3 linked regions of the Daphnia pulex genome follow. The protein of the gene in region 3 purifies or fractionates together with the protein of the main gene of each other region. This does not show direct contact. Links are inferred from orthologs where the notes say so. Each region holds a gene or a part of one and is shown on either strand. Other genes may lie near its edges.

Evidence for each region.
Region 1: the proteins of nuclear factor NF-kappa-B p100 subunit-like (region 3) and coatomer subunit beta'-like purify together in Homo sapiens (affinity purification with mass spectrometry; 5 studies listed by BioGRID and IntAct, with this or other methods). This does not show direct contact. The link is inferred for Daphnia pulex from reciprocal best matches to the Homo sapiens genes NFKB1 and COPB2.
Region 2: the proteins of nuclear factor NF-kappa-B p100 subunit-like (region 3) and 40S ribosomal protein S3-A-like purify together in Homo sapiens (affinity purification with western blotting; 3 studies listed by BioGRID and IntAct, with this or other methods). This does not show direct contact. The link is inferred for Daphnia pulex from reciprocal best matches to the Homo sapiens genes NFKB1 and RPS3.

The regions. Positions count from the first base shown.
Region 1 is NC_060017.1:7,292,165-7,296,481, reverse strand, and holds the start of coatomer subunit beta'-like, read right to left. Parts: upstream 2,845-4,317; 5' UTR 2,680-2,844; coding exon 2,677-2,679; intron 2,606-2,676; coding exon 2,447-2,605; intron 2,385-2,446; coding exon 2,307-2,384; intron 2,239-2,306; coding exon 2,124-2,238; intron 2,063-2,123; coding exon 1,914-2,062; intron 1,845-1,913; coding exon 1,588-1,844; intron 1,526-1,587; coding exon 1,193-1,525; intron 1,130-1,192; coding exon 930-1,129; intron 863-929; coding exon 621-862; intron 560-620; coding exon 417-559; intron 341-416; coding exon 1-340. Other genes in the region: uncharacterized protein LOC124197376, read left to right, coding at 3,797-3,871, 3,950-4,169, 4,232-4,317. UniProt on the Homo sapiens protein: The coatomer is a cytosolic protein complex that binds to dilysine motifs and reversibly associates with Golgi non-clathrin-coated vesicles, which further mediate biosynthetic protein transport from the ER, via the Golgi up to the trans Golgi network.
Region 2 is NC_060025.1:408,446-411,860, reverse strand, and holds 40S ribosomal protein S3-A-like, read right to left. Parts: upstream 1,837-3,415; 5' UTR 1,724-1,836; coding exon 1,691-1,723; intron 1,487-1,690; coding exon 1,403-1,486; intron 1,343-1,402; coding exon 1,107-1,342; intron 1,043-1,106; coding exon 855-1,042; intron 793-854; coding exon 605-792; 3' UTR 513-604; downstream 1-512. Other genes in the region: general transcription factor IIF subunit 2-like, read right to left, coding at 3,092-3,208, 3,268-3,411. UniProt on the Homo sapiens protein: Component of the small ribosomal subunit. The ribosome is a large ribonucleoprotein complex responsible for the synthesis of proteins in the cell. Has endonuclease activity and plays a role in repair of damaged DNA.
Region 3 is NC_060019.1:3,340,629-3,344,990, forward strand, and holds the start of nuclear factor NF-kappa-B p100 subunit-like, read right to left. Parts: upstream 2,860-4,362; 5' UTR 2,648-2,859; intron 2,551-2,647; exon of another isoform or gene 2,523-2,550; 5' UTR 2,522-2,522; coding exon 2,392-2,521; intron 2,324-2,391; coding exon 2,148-2,323; intron 1,717-2,147; coding exon 1,538-1,716; intron 1,466-1,537; coding exon 1,351-1,465; intron 1,257-1,350; coding exon 1,118-1,256; intron 158-1,117; coding exon 53-157; intron 1-52.

The sequences.
Region 1 (4,317 bases), on a different chromosome or scaffold from region 3:
TTGTTTCCACTTGTGCTCACTCTGAGCCTCGCAGGCTAGTTGGTAGGCCAGTTGCAATTGACCAAGCTGAAGTGACAGTTCGAAGCGATGCTCAGGATCAGCGGAGACTGCCAATGCCTGTTCTTTGAATCCCTGCTTCTCAAGAAAATGAGCCACTCGAGTGCGTTGCTCTTTGGGAACCGACGGGAGCACTCGGTCAGCTGTTTCGAAGTCTCGTCGCATAACTGCGGTTTGATATTCAAGCACCGAGAGTTGCAGGCCGTAGGAAACTACATTTAGCTCCTTGTCGCCCAAGTAAAGACTGTTGTCCTTGGGAATGTAGCCCAACAAGTACATCACTCTGGAAACAAAAGTTACACATGGGTTTAATAGTATCGGTTTGATTATTGCAAGAATGGTGAACTTTCAAGCCATACCTGTCGAGATGGGCCACTGTGACAATTTCCCCACCGACGTAATAATTTAATCGGTTGGCACTGTTGGTGTAGATAAAGCAATCGCCCACCCAAAGTCCCGTCTTAACACTTTCTTGCACTTCAGATAACATTTCGAACGCCGTCTAAACATTCAGAAAATATTTTTTAAAAATGTACTAACACTTTGTCTTTAAATAAAATCACCTCAATTCCGGCATCGTCGGTCAAGCCTTCTTTGGTTTCAAGGCTTTTGGCCACGGCATCAGCATCATAACGCAAAACAAAATAGCTGTCTTCGGTAGAAATGCAAACTAATTCACCATTTTCCGACCAATACACACCACGTGGCTGGATCTCAATCCGACGAATCAGTGTCAGATTGTCCCATTCGTAAAAAGCTAAGCTGTTGGTAGACCGGACCCCAAGCATTGCTCCACCAAAGATTCCTGTGAATGTAAAATTTTAATTAGAATCAATATTTCATTCTGTTTTCAATTACTATGCACAATATACCTTCGGCTCCCAGCTCTGGTTTGAATTGTTTCTTTTCCTTGAAGTTCTTAAAAACTTTGACCGACGTGGCACTTTCACGAACAGCATACTCGGATGAGTCCACTGCCCACACAAACTCCAAAGCTGAACCGAAAGCTTTGTTTCGCAGAGCCATAGCTGTATAGATGATGTACTCGCCGTCACCACAAACAACGACGAATCTATTATGAAACGGAATTTTATTATTTACTGGTTTCTATGCCATGAGCAGTTAGCAAACATACCTTCCGTTTGGATTGTGAGCGACAGTTTGAGGGTAAATCTCGCATGCACCCATATCCTTGATGGCAAGAGGAAGACGTTCTCCATCCTTGATCTCCGAGTCCGGCAGCGCTTTGAGATTGGCCTGCTGGATCTCTGAATGTTTGGCCCAGATAATTTTACCGCTTTGATCCATGGACATTGCAGGTTCCTCTCGGCCCAATTTAATCATGATAGATCCTTCATCGTAGCCCAAAGCGATGTTATTAGACCCAGGCAAACAACAAATGGTCCAGACACGCTCCAGCCCATAATTGAGAGTAGTCTCCAACCGGTAGGTATTTGAATGCCATACTCTACGATTTAGAGAAAATAGTATACTTGACTAAAAAATAAATAAAGAGAATAATAAATTTACCTGACTGTTCCATCTTCAGATCCAGTAAGCAGAATTGGAAGTTCGGGGTGGAAGGCAACAGAAGAAATATTCTGTGCATGCCCTTCCAAAGTTTGGACGCAGGTTTTATTCTGGTAATCCCAAATTTTAACAAGCCGATCATCTGCACCTGAAATTAAGTAAGGTTTGTCGCCGGCGTGGTAATAGTCGACGCAATTTACTCCTTTCTCGTGGCCTTCAAGAGTGAAATTCGGTGTGTTCGAGCCCAACTGCCAGACCTGAATGAGGGACCGTAATAAATTGATTTTAAGTTAAATTTCTGGCAAAATATTTTCGTAAAAACATACCTTGACTGTTCTATCAAGAGATGCAGTAGCAAATGTATTGTTATCTTTTGGATTGATGACAATCTGCATAACATAATGGGTGTGACCCTCAAAGACTTGTTGGCATGCCCAGTTCTTTTCCCAATTCCACAACTTAATTGACATATCATCTAAAATGAAGAAAGACTGTATGAACACTGAATCTGTTAGAAAAACAGATTATTTACATACCACTGCTAGTTAATAGAAAGGGTTGAGTGGGGTGCACAGCAATGCAACGAACATAGTCTGAATGAGCTTCAAATGCTGTCACACGATCAAGTGTGTTGTAGTTGAACACTCTGACCTGGAACAATTTAAAGAGGATTAAACTATATCTAATCTGAAATGGATAAGACATCAAGAAAACTATACCTGCATATCATCAGAACCACTAACAACCCAGTTTTTCCTTGGGACAAACTTGACAGCACGAACAGGCAGGTCACAAACCTACAAAAGGGCAAGTAATGGTCAAGTCATTAAGGAAGAATTCAATGAAGTACTCATTTTACCTCAAAAGATTTGATGATTTGTTGTGATTCATGGTTCCAAATATGCACATTTCCATTATACAAGGAGGCCAACATCCATGGCTCTGTTGGATGCAAGTCGACACTTTTCACGCGATCCGAACGGGCGGTAAGCCTTCTCTTGATATCTAGTTTCAGCGGCTATAAAAAATTATAACATGAAATTAGCTCAATAATTGTTATGATTTAAACAAGTAGTATTAATGTTAAACCATTTTGTTGTGAGGATTGTTGAATAGTTCTACTACGTGGCCGGTTGATCTGTCATCACTGGGGGAGGAGTGGAGCACAAATAAACATTGCCAGATAGAATCATTAGCCAAAATACTAAATTGCTTCTTTTCTATCAGCTTTTACTAATATTGTGTGACCTCGTCGGGAGTGTAATTTTCAAAACTATTATGAGCTATTTATTCTATACATTTTAAGCGTACCCTGTAATAATTCAAAATTTGTTAAACTATTTCGACAGTGGCAACATCACATCAGTTCAAAACAAACTGCCCCGCACAATTTATCAATGGAGACAGCCACGATCATTATTCGAGTCATCCGGTCGTTTGAATATCGAAACATTCGCAATGTGGTTTTAAAGAATGTACCACTTTCCCTTACAACTGAAGAGTTGAAAACTAGAATAATTCAAGAGTTGGGTGTTGCTCCGGGACTGCCACCACCTTTTCGAAAATACGAATATGACACTTTGAAGGTTATTTGAATAACATCTTACTGCTATTTTTATGTATTTGTTGTTTTTTCTATGGTTTTCTACAGATTGAGCACCATGCACATGGAGCTAAAACAAATGATCCTGTCATTAACCACGAGAATGATGAAGGTCTCATCCTTAAAGCGGAAAGGACACTCAAGGAGAGTGATGTAAGACATGAAACTGAAATTTCATTCTTCAAATATGATGATTACATGTCATACAAAAAAAATCCAGTTTTAAAGATTGGATCAAGATAATGAATTAACTGCTGAAAATTTTTGCAATTCATTTTTCTTGATTGCCTGAAACAAGCAATCCTCAGGGAATTACTTGGGGTCTTTTGATTCTTATTTTTAATTTTGATGATACAATTGTGAATAATACACCACATTTTTCCTTCATCCATATATTCTGGAATAATATGTTTCAAATTTTCAATCATCACCTAATTGTCAGATAAACACTGTTGCAAAAGTTATAGCAGACGAAATTAAGTTGCAAAGGTGAATTCAAAACTCGAAAGCGTCGGATGCTATGTTCTTGTTGGTGTTAAGAGAGTGGCCTACTTGTTGAAATAATGGATCAATAATTTCGAAACTATGAAATGACAATCCAACACGATGGACAGATTGAAAAAATGCTGGGAAGGAATTTTACAAGAAAGAGATAATTTTTGGAGTTCCTTCTTCACTAAGGTATTTTAATGTCAAATTCTCTTCAAAGAGCTATGCAGACCTGATTCTAACTCTTGCGATTTATACATACTACTCTAGTACCAAGAAGACAAAAAAGACGTGGATTTTCGATCTTATTTGGATAATAGTTCGACAAGGATTAATACTGTGCTGGAACTAGCAGCTGAAGAGAATAAAGAGTCTGCTGGGGCTTCGAAAGGCTCGGTTAAAAAAGTGATACAGCACTTTGAAGAACAGTCTAGTGAGTCATCAGAAACATATTCTAATGAAGTGGCTACTTCATTGAATGAAAACCAAGGTAAGATAACATTTTAAGAGTACAAAACAAAATTTAATATTGTGCCATATTATTATTCACAGAACAAGAAAACTTAAAATCTGATGAGCCTTCAGTAATATCAGTGAAGAAAACTGTGCCTACATTAGTTGTGAAAGCTATTCCAGCA
Region 2 (3,415 bases), on a different chromosome or scaffold from region 3:
AGTAATGTCTAGCTTTCATCCTGAATCACCAAGAAAATGCTTAAATGTCAATGCTCACGTAAGCTCTTAAATACACTAGATTAAGAAAATTAAAGAAAAGTTCTTACCTTTCCAGTAACACGAGTAACCACAACATCGACAATATCGGTAACATTTCACTTTAACTTTTCTTCATGAGATGGATAACGATAAAACAATTATAAATTAACAAACTGCAGCAGCTCTGCATTGAACCGTATTTTGAAGTTCACTGTCGGCATGTAGTGCACAATTATTCTACGAGAACTATTTTCAGCAACCGACACGTTCAATTGCAGAACCACTTACTGAAATAAGTCTCACGCCGACAGCGGTAGTTGGAAAACCTTGTTTTTCACGCAGACCTTACTCTAATTTACTAAGATTTTTTACACATCAATTCTTGGACTTGCTTCATTACCTAAATTAATTGGTAAGTTTAATTTGAGCGTAAAAAGAAAAGTAGGGTGTAGGATAATAAATAAAACACAACCTTGACCAGGCAAAGCATGTATTTAACTCTCGTTTCATATTGGAAACTACGGTAGTTAATCGACACCAGCCCAGTAAATAGACGAAACACTCCTTAGGCAGCAGCTTGGGTGGGAGGTGCTGCTGCGATGTCGGACATCTTGGCTGCTTTAAGTTCCTCTGCGATGTGTGTCTCATCTTTAGGTTCCAGGATGGAAACATTGTCTGGCAAAGGTCTCTTGGGTCCGTTCTTGTTGTTGGGATCCCACGGCAACATGATCTTAACCTTAATACCAAGTACTCCTACAATAACAAAGATGATTAGAAAGATTCCTCCCAAGTCAATATAATGCACAATAAATTACCCTGGCGAAGCAAGACGTGTCTGACGGCAGTGTCGACGTAGACGTTGGTGGGTTCTCCACTGTGGATCATCAGACCATCGACGAACTTCATGCTCTTGGCTCGCTGACCTCGAAGTTTGCCAGATACAACAACTTCACAACCCTTAGCTCCAGACTCCATGATGAAACGGAGAACACCATAACAAGCTCTGTGTAACAACACATTACATCAGAAATGCACTATTTAAACGTCAGCCTATTGAATTAGCTTACCTGCGAACAGCCAAACCACCAATGAGTTTGTAGCGCAGGGACTCAGCTTGGGCAATAGCACACAAGCCACGAGTAGCAACCTTCTCAGCATAGAGCTCAACAGTTCCCTCTTGGAAGCCAAATCTCTTTTGGACAACAGATGTCAACTCGCGAATGCGACGGCCTTTCTCACCCAAAACATTCTGGGTACGTGTAGCCAGAATGATGATTTCTGTGCGAGTGGGGGCAAGGCGCACCTAATAGGAAAATGGGTTTTAGATATCTACACAGTAACAAAATAATTTCACAAGAATTACCTCAACTCCAGAATAACCATCTTCGGCCAATTCACGGGTCAAGAAGGCGTTCAATTCAGCCTTGAAGACACCTCCCGCCACAAACTGTAATACAAAATTATAAGAAAATTAGGTAAACTCAAGCACACTGACAATAGAAACATGTCAAGCCAAGACGAATTTTATCCTCCAAAATCTTTCACATCCTGGTTAGAAACTGTTCTATTTCATCAATAACACCTCAATATTCAAACGGTGAATATGTGAGAACAAGATGAAAAAGATTCACGTGTTGAAAGAATTACTTGCCTTTCGTTTTTTCGAGATCTGAGCCGTAGCCATTTCACGTATTTTAAGACCGGTCTACGAGAGGAAGAAGGAATACACAGTACTTTTTCTGTAGACGAAGTTGACAAGCCCAGCATTGCCTCCTTCTCAACCCCCTCTTTCGGAATTCATCTTCCCACATAATTTATTTCAGTTTGCTTTTTAAAATTTTTTCAACTATCATTATAGAAATAATAAATTATAAACAAGTTTAATTGGTTCATATTTGTTTAAAAGATTTCAAAAGTTTTATTGTAGATTTTCCATCTGTCAACTCCGACAGGAAGTCCGAAATTCAACAGCGTTGGACGAAATCAAATGTTATAAGTAGGACTGTAAAACGCCATTTGAAGCATGTGAAGCTCCCCCATCTGGTTTGATTGCTGCTAGCCAGTTTTGTATTCGTTTCGGTAAATATCTTATTTAATTCATGCAACTAAGACTGAATTTTGCATTCCTTTGAACCACACTAGCTCTACTTAGCTTATAGTGGCCAAGCGGACATGCTAAATTAAAATTTATTCTGATCTACCGTTGTCTCCTTATTTGGAACACATGGATTGAACCGAATTAAAACATTTGATAGTAGTAACATAAAGTAATTGATGTTGAAGGCACTGAGGCACACTGTGGATAATTTGTTGAAGTGTGCTTTAAATGGTTTTCTATGATGTTGAAATGCTAATTCTTATTCTGTTGTTGTACAGGAACCCTCACATCGCTACCTGAAGTTGCAGATTTCCTGGTGAAATAATTCTGTTTGGTGTATTTTATAGTATCTATATTGACAAATAAACAATTTTTAAAATTACATTCTGGCAAATTGTAACTAGTGAAAATTAAAACAAATTAATTTGTAGATAACTATATTCAGCGTTAAATTGTTGGTTGAATCATGGTTGGATGATGAATCTCATCAAGAGACAGGCTGTTGCTATTCTAATAGATTATGGCTTTTGACTGAGATAATATAATGTTAACTGTAAGTAGGGTACCATGAAAAGCTGTAAATATTAACATGTAACCTTTTACTTGATTCTTGTTTTTACAATCTTACGATTCTGTTTAAAAGGGGTTCCTCGTTAGCACATAAGCCTACTTTTCGCACTGAACTCGCTCATGAAATCATTTCTTCCTGATATGGTTGGGATAAATTATATTGGTAAAATTTTCAAGTTCGCATCGATGTATTGGACCACACACTTGTTAGCACGGGAATTTTTAGACGAAGGGAAAATTGTAGCCTAAGAGAACATTTTATCGAACAATTTCAAGGGCAGTTGAAACCCATTTGAGTTATCTGAAGTTATGTGCATCCAAGAGCTGTTTAGTAGTTTTCTGAAAATCACAGCTTTATTAGAAAGTTAATGGACTGTTTACTTATTAGTCCTTGTCTTCATCTTTGTAGTGGCGGTATTCCGGTTTCAGTTCCCACATGTTTTTGTGAGGATTCTTCAAATTGTATACACAAACATCCTTCAAAATTTCCTTGAGGTAGGTCTATAAAAGCAGAGGGTTTTAAAAGTGCAAATGCTTGTATGAAAACAACTTTTTCTTACCACAGGTTGGTTGGTGAGTTTTACCAAGTCCTTGATGTTGTAGTACTGATGCTTTTCAAAAGCTGCAAACAGCATGTCCATAACTTTGCCCTTATCATCTCTGGCTTTCTTACCCTCAGCTTTCTTCTTTTCGTCGAATTCTTTCTGT
Region 3 (4,362 bases):
GAATTGGATGTTAGATGGAAAATGTTGCATGAAATTAATCTAATTATTTTACTTTTATTGACTTTCTCCACGAAGATGAAAATCTCTTCCTGTCCCGTACAACAACTATAGACCTTATCTATTCGGACGATGCGTAAGTCTCCAGCATGAGTGCTTTCTAGATTTTGAAAAACACGGTAAGATTAGGTTAGAACAGTATTGCTGCGTTAGTAAAATTCCACTTCGTTTAGAAAGACTGAACATCCACTTCATGTTTAGGACTTCCAATCAAATCTCGTATAAATCGAAATTCGAATTCGAGTTTTTCGAAACTTAAGATGAAGTCTAACTTAAATTGACAAAATCCAAATTCGCGGGTCAATTGAATTAATAGAAAATTTGAAGGTGAATATTCATTGAAGTTATTGCGGATATTTTTTTATGTGTACATTAATGCTGATTTCCGTAATTTTTTTAAATAAAATCATATGTAAAAGTATCAAAATGTGTGTCATTCAAAATACTTTATAATCGTTTAAAGAAGCACAGACAGGATAACAATTTTATGGAAACCTTTTAAATTTCGATTTTTGTGCTTTTATTCTTTAAATGATTAAAAAGTAATTTATTTTGTCTGTACTAACCATACAAATGTTTTGTGGATAAAGATCTTAACATAAATTGATTCGAATCGATTTAAATTAATTTTTTTTTACTTGAATCAAATCAATGTGATTTTTTTACAAAAATTCTCAATCCGAAATGAGGTTTCACATGTAAATTGATTTGAGTGGATTCCTACGTTTAACTATTTAAAAATGACTTTGCTACTTGGATTTCGAAGGCGTCATTTTTTACGCTTCTGAAAGTGGAGAGAAATAATCGAAACAATAAAAAAAAGAGAGGTCACCGTTAATTAATAGAAAATGGAATAAAAATGAATAACGCTCAAACTCCTCGGTTATTGTTGTTTTTCCATTAATATACTTAGCTAGTATTAAAAACTACAGTACGTGCATAAAAAAATACGAAATTTAGGACGACGAATTAGATTTTCCGTTTTCCTTTCACGCTTCTTTAACGCGGTAGTTTTAATTAGCAACATTTTCCACTACTATAGATATCTTTTAAAACTTACTTAAATTGTGAATAGCTTGGGAATATTGAGGTGGGCAGATCTGTTCACGAAAACCGTTTTGTTCCACAAAGGCCTCAAACTTTAGTTTAACCGAATGAAGATCCATTGTATTGGCTATCTTGTCTGCTTCGTCCTTCAACTATAATGACCGGGGATGAATGTTAAATAACTTTACTAATGCAACAACAAATAAGACTACTTAAAATAGAATATAATCATTGAAAACTCCATACCTGTTGCCCTTGGTTACGATTCATGGGTGCATTCCCCAGTTCATTTATCAAACGCCTTTCAACCACCTCACGGACTTGTTTTTTCGCTGTGTGTATAATTGTTAAACCGGAGAAACTTTAAAACAAAATATTTAAAAAAATTTATTATTACTATTATTAACAATTTTATTGAGTAGCCTATACATACGTTGCAGTCCATTCGTTTTTACCAGCGGAGACTATCATTTCTTGGTATTCTCCTTCGTTCCCATTGTTCCCATTGGAGTTTCCTTCCCCTCCAAGACGATGGACATGTGGAACAGGTTTTGAACTGTTTGTAACTAATGTACAACGAATAATAGCTTCTCGATCTTGACAGCCTTCCAACTAAAGACAGTCATTTAGTAATACTGGCATTAATATTAATTCTAAATAATTGTGAATAATTGGCAAAATGAAAATATACCAATACAAAACTGACTAATTCTAACACAACTAATATGTGTGACAGAAATAAGTGTCAACTGAAAAAGTTGAAATACAGTTCTATAGGTGGAATTATCGTACACTGTTTTACAACGGCATAACATTAAACGCAATAGCAGGAATCGCTTGGCGTTAACCCCTACCTCTCTTTTTAAATTAAGGTATTCTGACTTCTGAGTTATAAAGTGGAGATTAAAGATCAACAGTTTTGAATGATAATTCAACCCATATATAATTTACTACAACCTAGTAATTATAATTAAATACTTAAGATTCCAGATTTGAAATTATGGATGAGTTGGTAAATATTTACATTAGCAAGTGAAACATACTTGAACACGAATATATTCTTTTTTGTTCCGTTCCTTGCTTTCTGCCATAAGACATCCATGTGTTCCAGTCATTTCAGAGGCATAACGAAAACGAAACTTCCCTTGTGGTTGATTAAGTATAGATAAACATGGGGATAGCCTGCCTGGTCTGATAGGAATTGAACTGGGAGAATTTCCTGTAATAAAATGAATCCATATTTTACACAATTTTAACATAAATTCATTCTAAAAAACTGCTGATTACCCATGTAGGCACTGTTTGGTGAGGCACACATCATAGGAGAGTTTCCACTGGAGAAGCTGTGGCTTATCGGAGAACTTGAGGAATGTGATGATTCAGGTGAGTAAGGACTACTACCAATTGGTTGATGCATTCTTCATAATTTTAATTTTAATAATCATACTTATTAAATAACATTTGATTATATGTTAAAGAGATATAAATGATATAATGTATATCAACAGTCAACACAGTTCATAAGATACACAACGGAACTAACCTTGAATACACGAAAGAATTCTCGTATTAATTCAACGCAAACGAATTAGCTAAAAATCATTTCGATTTGCGTGTTATATTCAACAAAGACCGTTCAAACTGGAGCCTTTCACAAAGTTACAAAGTTTTATAAGTAAATTTAGCACTGCTCGCGCAATCTTTAGCCTGAAGCTTCATTGATATGACAGAAGGGGAAAACCCATGTGTATAAACAAAACTTTCGATTATATTCCATAGTCGGAGTTGTAAAACCTAAGACCTCTGTCGGCGTAAAATTGAAACACAAACAATTATAAATTGTAAAAAGTTAAAAACCTTTAAAGTAAAAAATTAATTTCTCAGCTAATTTATATTTAATATTTTTTTAAACTTTCATATGAAGCCGTAGTTTTTCTTTGGATAAATAAAAATGTGAATTTGACAACACAAAAAAAAATCTGCCGCAGCGGACAGCGCCATAACTCTCCGCTTCTTAAATGTACATTCTAATTCCATACGCTATGTTTTCGAAAACTGGTGGGTTTTTCCCCTTTATTTGTGGATACATTGCCTCATGTTGCACTCGAGAGACGTCCACTTTCCCAGTCCATAAATGTGTAATAAACAAACTTTCGGTGGTATGCACATGTTACGTTTCATATCTCGACTTTGATTCCAACACCAAAGATTAGCATGGCAAGTCGCTGGTGCATTCATTAAATCAAATGTTATCGAATATTATATGCAAACAGCAATGACGTGCGCAAATTTTGCAATATTTAAAATAATATAGTATGGTATTTAGAATATTCCATGCACAATACCGTTGAAAACGTTCATTTTTAAAATAGGCTACAATTACTTTTATAACAAAATTTATTTACAGGTGTTTATAATCAGACCCCTCGTTCGCTTTCGAGTTTCCAACTTGGTCTGGGTCTGACCTCTTTTGAATTTTTTTAACTCGTTTGTTTTTAATAAATTAAATTAAATAGTTTTAGATTCTTGCTAGGGAATTAAGAATTTATGGTCAGTACACTTCTAAGGCTTATCATCAAAATGACCGCCATAATCTTGTCGGGGATAGCATGTAAGAAGGGTAAACAACTAAAGAATAATTTTAATATAAAATAGACTAGATTGTATTTGGGCTTGAAGTAAAAATTAAAAGATGACCAATTGAGTAACACATCTAACGGTACAGGCAATAAGTGGGAAATACTTAAATATAGGTACAAAAATATTAAAAAATTGCGAATAACATTGCACCGTGCGACTTGCGTAGCAAGGTTCCCTCCGGGCTTTTGGTGCAAGAAACGGAATGCAGATCCCTTGCTTCGCACGCGAAGTATAGAAAGAAGTACAATTGAAAATAATATATTTACTTCCCACAGAGAAGCAGTAACGGGCGTGCAGCACAAAGATTTCAGATTTTCAGGTACTTAAATCACAGATAAAGACACCATAAGTCTTCTTTATCTATGCTTAAATTAGAGCTATAGACTCCTAAAATCTTTGTGCTGCACGCCCGTTACTGCTTCTCTGTGGGAAGTAAATATATTATTTTCAATACTTCTATGAGAAAATGTCTTTGCAAACGAGAGAGGGAGGCGGAAGTTCCATGCCAAAATAACGATGGGCCAGAACAACGATATCGCTATCTCTCCAATCAAATTCCCGTCACTTAATTTGTTATGTAATTTGATAACAATTTCGACTGACGTAGCCTTCCATTTA